Linked DNA regions of Mus musculus. The protein of the gene in region 2 purifies or fractionates together with the protein of the main gene of each other region. This does not show direct contact. Links are inferred from orthologs where the notes say so. Each region holds a gene or a part of one and is shown on either strand. Other genes may lie near its edges.

What was found. Proteins that work in one complex are often made in the same cells at the same time.
Region 1: the proteins of Rpl18a (region 2) and Ddx56 purify together in Homo sapiens (affinity purification with mass spectrometry; 3 studies listed by BioGRID and IntAct, counting the BioPlex papers as one, with this or other methods). This does not show direct contact. The link is inferred for Mus musculus from reciprocal best matches to the Homo sapiens genes RPL18A and DDX56.

The regions. Positions count from the first base shown.
Region 1 is NC_000077.6:6,263,962-6,270,174, reverse strand, and holds the start of Ddx56 (probable ATP-dependent RNA helicase DDX56), read left to right. Parts: upstream 1-2,445; 5' UTR 2,446-2,455; coding exon 2,456-2,515; intron 2,516-2,595; coding exon 2,596-2,757; intron 2,758-3,203; coding exon 3,204-3,364; intron 3,365-3,492; coding exon 3,493-3,663; intron 3,664-3,768; coding exon 3,769-3,859; intron 3,860-4,418; coding exon 4,419-4,663; intron 4,664-5,379; coding exon 5,380-5,499; intron 5,500-5,937; coding exon 5,938-6,051; intron 6,052-6,141; coding exon 6,142-6,213. UniProt on the Homo sapiens protein: Nucleolar RNA helicase that plays a role in various biological processes including innate immunity, ribosome biogenesis or nucleolus organization. Plays an essential role in maintaining nucleolar integrity in planarian stem cells.
Region 2 is NC_000074.6:70,893,837-70,899,917, forward strand, and holds Rpl18a (60S ribosomal protein L18a), read right to left. Parts: upstream 3,608-6,081; 5' UTR 3,541-3,607; coding exon 3,523-3,540; intron 2,477-3,522; coding exon 2,297-2,476; intron 2,210-2,296; coding exon 2,080-2,209; intron 2,021-2,079; exon of another isoform or gene 1,923-2,020; intron 1,874-1,922; coding exon 1,764-1,873; intron 1,735-1,763; exon of another isoform or gene 1,672-1,734; coding exon 1,579-1,671; 3' UTR 886-1,578; downstream 1-885.

The sequences.
Region 1 (6,213 bases), on a different chromosome or scaffold from region 2:
ACTTCCTCAGGTACTTAAAATACCTTTGTAGTTTTCTTCAGGTTAGAGTTAGTATTAGAAGTTAGATGTCAGAATTATTTTGTTTTTAGGTGATTGAGACAAGGTATTTATTATAGCTTTGGTGTAAACCAGGCTGGCCTTGAACTCACAGAAATCCACCTGCCTCTGCCTCTAGAGTGCTGGGATTAAAGGCGTGTGCCATCGCGCCCGGCTATTGTTTTTGAGAGTCCCGAGGTGGAGCTTGTGTTGGTCTTTAAGTCAGGGTCCTCCTGGCTCTGATCTTCGAGTGTTGGGGTTTTATTGTGTGGTAAGATGCCCAGAAATAAAGTGTCCTTTGGATGACTTAGATGTGTAGATCAACATGAGGTTTTGTTTTTTTTTTTTTGAGATAGGGTTTCTCTGTGTAGCCCAGGAACTCACTCTGTAGACCAGGCTGGCCTCGAACTCAGAAATCCGCCTGCCTCTGCCTCCCAAGTGCTGGGATTAAAGGTGTGTGCCACGACTGCCCGGCAACATGAGGCAACTTTTCTGCTCTGATGTCTCAAGAATTGTAGCCAGCAAAGTAGACTGGACCTGAGAGAGCGAGAGGCTAGAAAAGGCCAGGCCAGGCATCGATGGGTTTGTCCACAATAAACACATTGGAGCACCAAGCTCTGAACAAGCAAGTTTCTTTCCTGTTGATTCCTTTCCACCACACCCCCTATCCCCACCTTGGAAACAAACAGATTTCTGGCAGCATTCAGTTATGGCCAGATTCAGTCGTGTATGTGAGGGATATGGTAGGTAGGAAAATGACTGCCTCAAAGGTATTTCCATCCTAACTCCTGAAACTTGTGAATGCCATTCAGCATGGCCAAGATTGCTGACCAGATAACTTTAAAGTAGGGAGTTAGTCTAGATCAGTCATTCTCAACTTGTAGGCCATGACCCCTTTAGGGGTCAAATAACCCATTCACAGGGTCCACCTAAGACCAGCAGAAAAGACACATTTACATCATGATTCATAAGAGTAGCAAAATTACAGTTGTGAAATAGTAAAAATGATGTTCTGGATGGGGGTCACTTCAACGTGAGGAACTGTATTAAAGGGTAGCAGCATTGGGAAGGTTGAGAAGCACTGATCTAGATCATCAGTTTGAGCTCACTGCAGTCACAGGTGCCAGAGTCCAGCGTTTTGCAGTTAGGCTTCTAGCCCCACCTTAAGTCTCCCCCTTTTCCTCTCCTTTGCTGCTGATTGAGACTCTAAGGCATCATGCACGCTAGGGAAGTGCTCTACATTGATCCTGTTGCCCACTTAATGACCCCTTTTATTGGTCTTTTCCTTCAGCTCAGCCCCTCCTGTTATCAGGAGGGCTTTCCCTTTCTTAATAGGTGGTCACTATAAGACCCTGTTGGTAAATGTTTTTAGTCCCCACCAATCTCTTTTCTGTTATTGCCCTAACAATAGTTACAGCGCCCAGAAGAAATGGGCCTAAGGTCAACTGACACTTTTTTGGCTTTAGGTGTTTTAAGAGGTCCCAAGGAAGGGTGGTAGTGCATGCCTTTAATTCCAGCACTAGGGAGGCTGAGTCAAACCAGTCTGGTCTACCTACCAAGTTCCAGGCCAGCCACTACATAATGAGGCCATGTCTCAAAAAAACCAATCAATCAATCTTCCCCAGGCAGTGATGGCACATGCCTTTAATCTCAGCATTTGGGAGGCAGAGGCAGGCGGATTTCTGAGTTTGAAGCCAGCCTGGTCTACAGAGTGAGTTCCAGGACAGCCAGGGCCACACAGAGAAACCCTGTCTTGAAAAAAACAAACAAACAAACAAAAAAAAAAAAACAAAAAAAAAACAAAAACAGAAGAAAAAGTCCTAAGGACATTCCCTGGTAAGGAATTCTCAAAGAATGGGCCTTATTAACATGTGTAACAAAGTCTGATTTTCGTTTTCTGGGAAAGATGGTCCCAGGAAGGGTTCGAGTCAACTTGGCTCTTCTTCTAAGAGCTGTTAAGGATTGCACCGCGTGTTGGCAGTATTTGTGAAAATCTTCATAGTAGCTGAAGGCCTGATTTAACATTTATCTTAGGTTAGCAACTTGTGCCGCGATTTCTGCCCAGTGAGATTTGCCTCTGGTTACCCACAGAACCCTAATTCCTTTGCGCATGTGCCTAAGTGGCGGCTGCCTCCCTTTAGCCAAAACGCGGTCGATCCCAACCATAACCTAGCAAAGCCCTGCCCACGTCACTCTGTGGGTCAGGGAAGGCTGAGGCGCCAGAGAAGAGGCATCCACAATTCGGAGGGCGTTCAAGGGACAGCATTGCGGAACGCTCCTGCGCAGAGCCAGCACAAATTGGTAGCAACGTCGGACACCCAGGAGAAAGTACTTCCAGGAAGTGACGTACCTTCCAGAGCTGATTAGTTGTTGGTTTGTCCCGCCCTACGCGTGCGCACTGACAGCGTGGAGTCACGCCATGGAGGACCAAGAAGCGCTGGGTTTTGAACACATGGGCCTGGATCCCCGGCTCCTGCAGGTATGGGGTAGGCTGTGGAGCTGCTACCCGGTGTGCCGCTGTACTCCACGCCGCTTGAGCTGCGTCCTCTTCCTTCTTAGGCTGTCACCGATTTGGGCTGGTCGCGACCTACGTTGATCCAGGAAAAGGCCATTCCTCTGGCGCTGGAGGGGAAGGACCTCCTGGCCCGCGCCCGCACAGGCTCCGGGAAGACCGCAGCTTATGCTATTCCGATGCTTCAGTCGCTTCTCCACAAGAAGGCGGTGGGTAGCGAGAGGAGCAGTGAGTATGAGGCAGGACGCTCCAAAAGAATAGGGAATGAAGTGCCCGACTGTGCCAAGGTTCCTCCTATAGGTCCTGTGTCAGTGTTAGGCGGCCCATAGAGAACTTGGTCAATTTGCAGCTTAATCTCTGAGCTGGAGTTCAGGTTACTTGGCTCTCAACCCGGGCCTTGGTGCCACGACCGCCATCCTGTTGTAATTTTGAGTAACCTTTTATCTAGAGGGGGACTCATCAGCTCCGTAGTACGTTAAGTGATTTCAGCAAGTTCTAAATTTGAGTGCCTGGGAAAGCTCTGCCCCCTGTGCTGTGAGGTGGGCAGAATTAAGAGTTTATCAGGACACAGCTAGGTGGTTGTGTTGCAGTACATGGTTCTGACTGTTTGGGCGGACCCAGTACTTTGAACGGTCTTGAATTGGTGTTCTTACAGACAGGTCCTGTAATGGAGCAGGCTGTGAGAGGCCTTGTTCTTGTTCCTACCAAGGAGCTGGCACGGCAGGCCCAGGCCATGATCCAGCAACTGGCTGCCTACTGTGCTCGGGATGTGCGAGTGGCTAACGTCTCAGCTGCAGAAGACTCAGCTTCTCAGAGGTGGGTGAAACCTGCAGGCCTCCAAAGGGAGAACGCTTTGCAAGTGTGTGCCCTTGGTGGTGTGAGTGGCTAGCCTGGGCAGGTCTGCCAGGGCGAGGGTCTGGCTGCTAAATCCTTGCCACCTGCAGAGCTGTGTTGATGGAGAAGCCAGATGTGGTGGTGGGAACCCCATCCCGAGTGTTAAGCCACTTGCAGCAGAACACCTTGAAACTCCGGGACTCCCTAGAGCTGCTGGTGGTAGATGAAGCTGACCTTCTTTTTTCCTTTGGCTTTGAGGATGAACTCAAGAGTCTTCTCTGGTAAGGAAGAAACAGAAGTGGCTCCTAGACCTGCAAGGGTCTGGACTTGGGACTGGAGTGGAATGGGTGGGCTGGAGCCTGATCAAGCCCTGTTCTTTCTTTCAGTCACTTGCCTCGGATTTACCAGGCTTTTCTCATGTCGGCCACTTTCAATGAGGATGTACAAACTCTGAAGGAGCTGGTACTGCATAACCCGGTAAGTGGAGCATCTGGGACTGAGACCCAAGTCTCTGAACTTGTTGATCCTTCTCAGGAAACTTCTGGCGCTTGCGGGGGGACTATTTTTGTTAGGTATGTCTTTCCTAATTCTTAATCACTGAAAGGAAGTCACTTGAAGTCATTATATATTTATAGCTTTCCCTAGTCCAAACTGTGCTTTGCTTGGAAGTCACTTGGGGTCACGTTTCCAAAGGGAGCCAAATTCTAAGACCAGAGTTCCCCTTGTGTACATTTCAGTCTTCTACTTCCAGCCATTGTGCAGGCTTCTATTCTGTATCCTGTCTACTCCCAATGTTTGTCTTTGTGCTGTACACTGATGCTGTATGTATAGTTTGTTTCTAATACCACAATAGTTAGGGTACTTTTGAGTTCTTAGGTTACAGCCCTGAGGTGGGGTGGGGGATGGGGCAGTGGCTCACACACCAAAAACCCTTAAAGACATGTTCTATCCTGCACTAATGTAGTTGCTTTGGTTAGTGAGGCAGTGTCCACAGAACCACTTCTCTTTCCTGATCACAGGTCTGTCCTCTTCCTAGGTTACCCTCAAGTTACAGGAGTCCCAGCTGCCGGGGCCAGACCAGCTCCAGCAATTTCAGGTGGTCTGTGAGACAGAAGAGGACAAGTTCTTGCTGCTGTATGCCCTGCTCAAGCTGTCACTGATTCGGGGCAAAGCCTTGCTCTTTGTCAACACTCTAGAGAGGGGTTACCGGCTCCGTCTTTTCCTGGAACAGTTCAGCATTCCTTCCTGCGTGCTCAACGGAGAACTCCCACTGCGCTCCAGGTCCGCTGTGTCTGTCTTGATAAAGATAAGCTGAGAAGAAACATGGAAGGAGAACCCAGTTGGTTCTTTCCCCTTTTACGAGATGGGTTATGCTGTATTTGTAGTCCAAGTTAGCCTTGAATTTAGAGCAGTCCTCAGATTTCTAAGTGCTGAGATTAAATTTGTGGGCTGCCTCACACAGCTGGTCTTATTTCTTCTCCTCCCGCCTCTTTGCAGTGTGAGGGATTGAGCCCAGAGCCTTGTTCTTGCTAAGTAAGCACTCAACCACTCAGTTATACACCTAGATCCCTTTTCTGTTCTGTAACCACTTGCTAGGAGCTAGCCTCTCAGTATGATGACAACTCTGAAATAATTAGCTGCTGCTCCATTAAGGAAGAAAGGAAGGAAGGAAGGAAGGAAAATTACGAGTGTAGGTGTTTTATTGCCTGTGTGGTTTATGTGTCCTACGTGCGTAGCTGATGCATAGGGAGGCCATAAAGGGTGTTGGATCCCCTGACATTGGATTTACGGAGTATTAGTTGCCATGTGGGTGCTGGGACTAGGACCTGGGTCCTCTGGAGAGCAGCCGAGCGTTTAGTCCTTGAGCCATCTCTCCAGGTCAGTGCTGTAGTTTTCAGCTGAGGAGGCTGAGGTGCGGATCTGAGGATAATAAAGGAGGTAAAGAGAGAGGGAAGGAGGATGGTTAGGGTCAGGCTGGTCATCCCCTTGGATTGCAGGTGCCACATCATCTCACAGTTCAACCAAGGCTTGTATGATTGCGTCATAGCGACAGATGCTGAAATCTTGGGACCCCAAGTCAAAGGCAAACGTCGAGGCCGCGGGTCCAAAGGAAACAAGTGAGTCCACGGTTCTCTTTTTTCATCATTCCTCCGAGAGGACTGTTTTCAGCCTCTGTAAGACTGAGCCAAAGTGCATAGAGTGAGTGAGTTGTCAGACATTCTCGGTGGTTATACCTGGCAGTCCCACGGGCCCTTGCTTAGCTTCCTGGGCAGACATAGAGTAGAGGGTGATGCCCACATGTGCAGCACAGAGTGTCAGGGTCCCAGAGGCGGTTTATGGGTCAGTATGTTCTGCTATTGCCCAGGGCTAAGGTCAGGGCACAGGTTTGCCTGCATGTCAGAACTCCGGTCCACCCTCCAACACCCCAGCTCCTGGAGTGATTCTAATGTTTGGAGGTCTTTCAGCTTTGCTTAGAGGAGAGATGGCTTAGAGATATATGTGAGAACACATTCCCAGAGGGTGAGTATCTGTCTGATACCAGGTTATTTTCTCAGGGCCTCTGATCCAGAGTCAGGTGTGGCTCGGGGCATAGACTTCCACCACGTGTCTGCGGTCCTCAATTTTGACCTTCCTCCCACCGCAGAGGCTTATGTCCATCGAGCTGGCAGGTAGGAGGATGGGGCGTGGGGTGAGCTGGGGCGTGCGGAAGGACAGATCCTGTGGGCTAGTGGTACACGCTTGATCTTCTCCCTCTGCAGGACAGCTCGAGCCAACAACCCAGGCATAGTTCTGACCTTTGTGTTGCCCGCGGAACAGCCTTTCTTGGGAAA
Region 2 (6,081 bases):
AGGGCAGTCTCCTAAACCTAGGTGGCAGGCGGGCTTGAGGGCATTACTGATGAGGTTGAAAGGGCTTTTCTCTTCTTATTAGACTTTATTTTATATTTACATGTGGGTACACTGTAGCTGGCTTCAGACACACCAGAAGGCGGCACTGGATTCCATTACAGATGGTTGTGAGCCACATTGTGGTTGCTGGGAACTGAACTCAGGACCTCTGGAAGAGCAGTCAGTGCTCTTAACTGAGCCAATCTCTCCAGCCCGGGGTTTCAGGTTTTTGCAAGGCTTCAGAATGGGTAGAACTAAGATGAGATGACACATGTATTCTGAATGGGAAGAAGCACTAACGCAGGAGGGAGGGAAGAGTCTTCCCGAGGCAGCGGGACTGCCATGTTGGGACAACACTTGCAGTCATGACCTGTGCCTAGCATCAGGGAGAGCTGGGGCTGGTCGTGTGCCTACCCAATGTTTCTTTTGGTGTAGCCCTGACTGTCCTGGAACTCACCTTTTAGACCAGGATGGCCTCGAACTCAGATCTGTCTTTGCCTCCCTGAGGGCTGGGCTTAGTCTCACACCAGGTATCTTCACAAACTCCCCAAAACAAAACTTAATTATGCACGTGGGTGAAGGGGAGCTGTATATGAATTCTGGCGCCTGCAGAGGCATCTGATATCCTGGAGCAAGAGTTACAGATGTGGGCCTAATACAGGTGCTAGGGACAAAACCAGGTTAAGAGAAGGAACTTTTCATGGATTCTTCAAGGTTCCAAAGCAGCAGCCACTGGTTCTACTCTGCACAGGGAAGCAATGCAGTCTGAGGGGTCACCCATTCCTTTGATGTGGGACCAATGGACTTAATGGGAAAAAGAATCATCTATAGACCAGATGCCCTCTTATGGCTTTCACATGTTATCTTCTAAGTGCCATTCACACATTGCTATCCCTGAAAGTACTCTGGGCCATGTGTAGACATGGAAATGTCTACAAGGGGCCAGAGGCAAGTCCCTCAGAGGTAGCAATTGTAGGCAACTGCAGTAGGTTCCTCCCTGTGACAGAACAGTCCCAGGAAGCTTCAGGCCTGTGCCCTTTCAAGATTGGGCACCATGATGATGCCGTGCTGGCTGCACCCAACAAAAGGAACCCCCATGTTTCCTCCATCATTCACCAAAGCGTAACCCTGTCCCCATCTAAAGCTTGCAAGCTCACTGTGGGGCTTGGCTGGCCTCATTTCCACCTAGCTGAAGCTTAGAGCCAGCAGGATAAAAAGCTCAACCAGGTCCCCAGGCTTGGATTATAGTCATGTCTGGAATTCTTAGGCCTGAGACAGCAGCACCCTGGAGTCCAGAAACAGACTGCTACCCCTCAGTGTCACAGGCAGGGCTCAGGCTATGTCCTAGACAAATCGTAGTGGGGCTGAAGCTAATCTAAGGGGATACACACCTATGGAAAGATGCCACTGAGCAAGGCTGACAGGCAGGTGAGCAGGGCTAGCATGTTGTTAGGGACGGGACCAACTGGGACCTCTCCAGGGACATAGAAGCAAACAAGCAAGGACAGTCTCAAGTTTTTATTCAGTGGGTCTCTGTGTCTAGAAGAAGGTGTTGGGCCTCTTGGTGGTGAAGCGTGGCTTGTGCTGGCGCCGCAACACACGGTGGGGCAGTGGGAATTTGATCTTGGAGTCCTGTGGGGAGGGAAGCAATCAGTGTCCAGAGACTGTCCGTGTGCAACCACCCCCTGCAGCCCTGCGTCAGCCCCACACTCGGGGTCACTCACGTGGAACTGCTTGACAGCTGGCCGGCGGCACTTGCCAGCTGCAATCTCTTCCACCTTCATGATCTGGATGGAGTGGGCACGGGCACGGTGTCGGGCACCCATGTCTCGGTCTGTGGAAAGAAAAGAAAATCAGCCCCAGCCACCCAGAATGCCCCCACATTCTGTAGAGCCTACTGATTCACTCTGGGGGGCACTGCACAGCCCCCCAAAGGCGACGAAGCCCCTTTGCTGTGTGCACCACTATTTAAACAGCCGCTACAGGCAGCGACAGTTCTTGGGTTGGGTGCCAGAAATTGGCAGAGGGTTGGAGACTCACAGCACTGTGTGACTGCACCAGCAGTGGTCAGGTCCCTGTACTCCCGATACATGTTGTGTGTGCCACTGCGGGAGTCATAGCGCAGCCAGATGCCAAAGTTCTTCACACGCAGGGGTGACTTCTCAAACACCTGTGGGGAGTAGGGAGGACATGAGGAGTGCTGCCCTGGCTCTGATGGTACCCAGCGACCGGCATCCTGTGGGGCCCCAGACCTCACCTGTCCGCAGTACACAATTTCCCCGGATGACTTCTTCATCTTCTTCAGCTGTGACACAAAGTACCAGAAGCGGGACTTGGCCACCACATGGTTGGGTGCAAAGATTCGCATACGGTACAGTGGTGGTGTGTGGCATTTTGGGGTTGGCAAGCAGCGCCCCACCACCTTGTACTCCCGAAGCTGAAAGACATGTCAGGAGAGAAAGTTGTCTATGTGGGGGAGGGGTGTGGAGGCAGAGCCGGCCTGAGATTCAGTCCTCCCACAGGCAGGGGTGTCCAAAGTGGGCTCATACACTCGAGCCCAGTGTGAGGCAAGTCAGAAGGCTTGTGCTCCGCTACGAAGCTGCCTCAGGGTCTACATGTGGCAGGCTGCTCTGCTCTCCCTGAAACTCCAGGCCAAGATGGCAAAGGTGGCTCACGTCTTTAATCCCAGAGCAGGAAAAAGGCCATTTGTTCTACAGAGAAACTGTCTCTGGATTGGGACTAATTGACGATTCCAGACTAGCTTTTCACCAAGAGTCCGAAGGATTGTGTCCAACACACCGGGGCCAGTATGAGATCCGGCACCCTAGGCTACCGTCAGCCAGCCTTTAGAACTAGCTAAGGATGATTCTAGCGACGCTCTGCTTCGATTTCAAGTGCCGAGATAAGTGGCAGCAGGCTCGGTGTAGCCAGCGCTGGGGACAGGCCGCAAGCTTACCAAATGCTCTCTAAACCTAAGGCGGGCCGCGTGTCCACTCCAGTCTAAATAGACCAGGTTAGCTTTAAACCTCATAAGAGACTAAAACAAGCCAGCCGGGCGTGGTGTCACACGCCTTTAATCCCAGCACTCAGGAGGCAGAGGCAGGCGGATTTCTGAGTTCGAGGCCAGCTTGGTCTACAGAGTGAGTTCCAGGACAGCCAGGGCTACAGAGAAAACCCTGTCTCGAAGGAAAAAAAGACTAAAAGAACCACGGGGCTAGATTTGGCAACGAAAAGGAGTGTAACGCTGATATACACGAAAAGGCGGAGGGCCTTCCGGTGCACCCCGATCTAACCCGCTCCGTCCTCGGCCGCCCAGCACGCGGCGGCCGCCATGTTGGCCGCAAGGAGGCTGTGGGCGAGGAGAGCTGCCCGTAACCGCTGAGGGACCCTCGCGACGAACGCACCACCACCCCGGAGGACACAGCCAACCCGAGCGGCCCTGCCGCCAACGCCGCACCTTTTGCCCCGCCGCGGCCTCCTTACCGTGCCCGAGGCCTTCATGGCACTGCGCACTCGTTCACCGCCAGTCACAAAAGGAAGTGTTGTCTTTCGCGCAGGCTCTCACCATGGTCTCTGACGGAAGTCCCGCCCTCCTGATGCGGTGCTTCCATTGGGTACAGCTAGTAGCGGTCTAAGTTCTTGGCTTTTTTATTGGGTACCGATCAGCTACGTATAAGTCCCGCCTCTCTTCACGGAGACTACAGTTCCCAGAGAGCAGCGCGACGGGCCTTTGCAAGTTTCTCCCGGGACGCCCCATCGTCGTGCGCGAGGGATCCTGGGAGTCTACGCGTAATCGTGGTTCCTAGTTAGATTCCGGATTTTTAGTTCTCTCTGTCTCTCTCTTTTTTCATCTTTTTCTTCCCACTTTCTACATCATCCTTCTGTGTATCTACCCATCTATGACCCATCATCCATCTTTTTTATTTGCTTGCACCACCTTCGTGTCTGGTGCCTCGGAGGCCCGCAGAGGGCGTCAGTTCCTCAGTGCTGGAGTTAAAAGTTGTGAGGTGAATGCTGGGAATCGATCCCTGTATGTGCTCTTAGCTACTGCTGTTCTCTCTCCAGCCCCATCTATCTTTTTCTCTGTCATTAGTTTGGTTTGTTTGTTTGTTTTTTACTGTTTATTGAGATAATGTAGCCCAAACTAGCCTGTAACTCACTGTAATTCTCCTGCCTCTTCCTAGTTCTTGGGATGCTGGAGTGTGCCACCTGCCAGCCCACGTAACTATTTTCTTTATAGAATTGTATCAGAGCTGTGTCACTCTGTCTTAACTTTGTCATTTTCCTGGCCAGGTCCTGTACCTGAAGGCGACAATATCCGCCGTGTGTTTCCGCTAATGGCCACTAGGTGGCGAGCGCGTTTTTTGGCTCAGCCGCAACGCAATGCAATGCTGGGATGTGTGCTTCTAGGTCCCCCATTTCCATTGTGCTCAGGCGCATTCAAGTGTGATCCCTCAGTTTCCCCAGCCGCATTAACACTCCCCGTCCCATAAGATAGTTGTAAGATTTAGAAATTGGGCGTGGTGTTGCATGCCTGAGGTCTTACAAATGGGAGAGTGAGCCAGGAGGCTCAGGAAAGATGGCCTTGGCTACACAGAAAGATCTCATCTTACAGCCTTCCCACCCCAAAATAAACAGCTTAATAACATGTCGGTGTGCAATGGGCAGGCTAGGACACAGTCCACCTCTGCTGGAACACATTGCTCCAACCTGTGTTCTGGAGGCTGCTGAAGTGGGGTAGATACATTCTGTAAGATGCAGGACAGATGCTGGGGTGCAAGCTGTGCCCTGAGAGGGCACAGGGAAAGGAATGGAGAAACAGCTGTGTGAGGAAAAAGTTGGTATCCACAGGCCCAGCCTTAACCTTGGTCTGGGCTTTGATGTAAATTCAGAGTTTACAAGACCCTCAGCTGGGTGAACAGGACAGGTGCTGGCGGTTCAGTTTCACTTCCTGCTTTGCAGATGCCCCCCTTGGCCTCTCCTGAGTGGCGACAGGCTCTAGCCTTAACAGACCTCCTCTCCAAATGGCTCCTCTCCTAGGGGCTATGAAGAATCCCAGCAGGGCCACCTGTTGGTAAGACCTCAGGTTTCTGTCACAACAGCCCTGTCACCACAGGCTAGTGAGTATTCTGGACTTTGAGGTCCACTGACTGGCTTGTCCCCTGTGCCTTTGTTCTTCTGCAGTACACCTGTTAATCTGGGATCTCAGGCCACCTGCTTTTATCCCTCAGTCCCTAGGCAGAGATGTCCCTGCCTTAGTAACTTCAGTCCTGTGCCTTGCAGAACTAGGCAGGATATTGTAACCAGTCCTCAGACCCTAAAATGCCTTCAGACCCTAAACTACCTAGTACCCTGGGTTTCCCTTGTCTGCAACAGGCCTTACACTCTGAGGAGGAACAGACCCAGACATCTGATCCTCAGTACAAAGGACATTTATTTATCCCCCCAGGGACAAGCAGGGGTGGGGGGAGCTGCCTCTGGATTGGGCATAGCAGGTGCTTCTGCAGGAGTGGGTTTTAAGGAGAAAAAGGGAAGTCTGTGCTAGGGTGACTAGGTAAGTCCTGATTAGACAGATCAGCTAGTGTAGACAAATAATGACTTTTGATAGCTGGACCTTGGTGTTTTATTCAGGCATAAGGAAGTAGCCCTTGGTGGCTAGCTTGGGGAATGTAATCTAATGGCTCAGCAAGGGAGAGGGCAAGACCTGCTGGTACCACGTTTACCATGCTTGGGTCCTTCTCTGCGCCAGGACACCTGCCTTTCCCACTCTGCCAAGTCCACAGGGTCTACCCTCAGAGGGCCTCACCCCTCTTTTTGCTTTTTGAGACTAGGCCTCCCTATGTAGCCCAGGTTGGTCAAAGCTTGCTTTTGTTTATTTACTTATTATATGTAAGTACACTGTAGCTGTCTTCAGACACTCCAGAAGAGGGAGTCAGATCTCATTACAGATGGTTGTGAGCCACCATGTGGTTGCTGGAATTTGAACTCAGAACCTTAGGAAGAGCAGTCGGCGCTCTTAACCACTGAGCCATCTCACCAGCC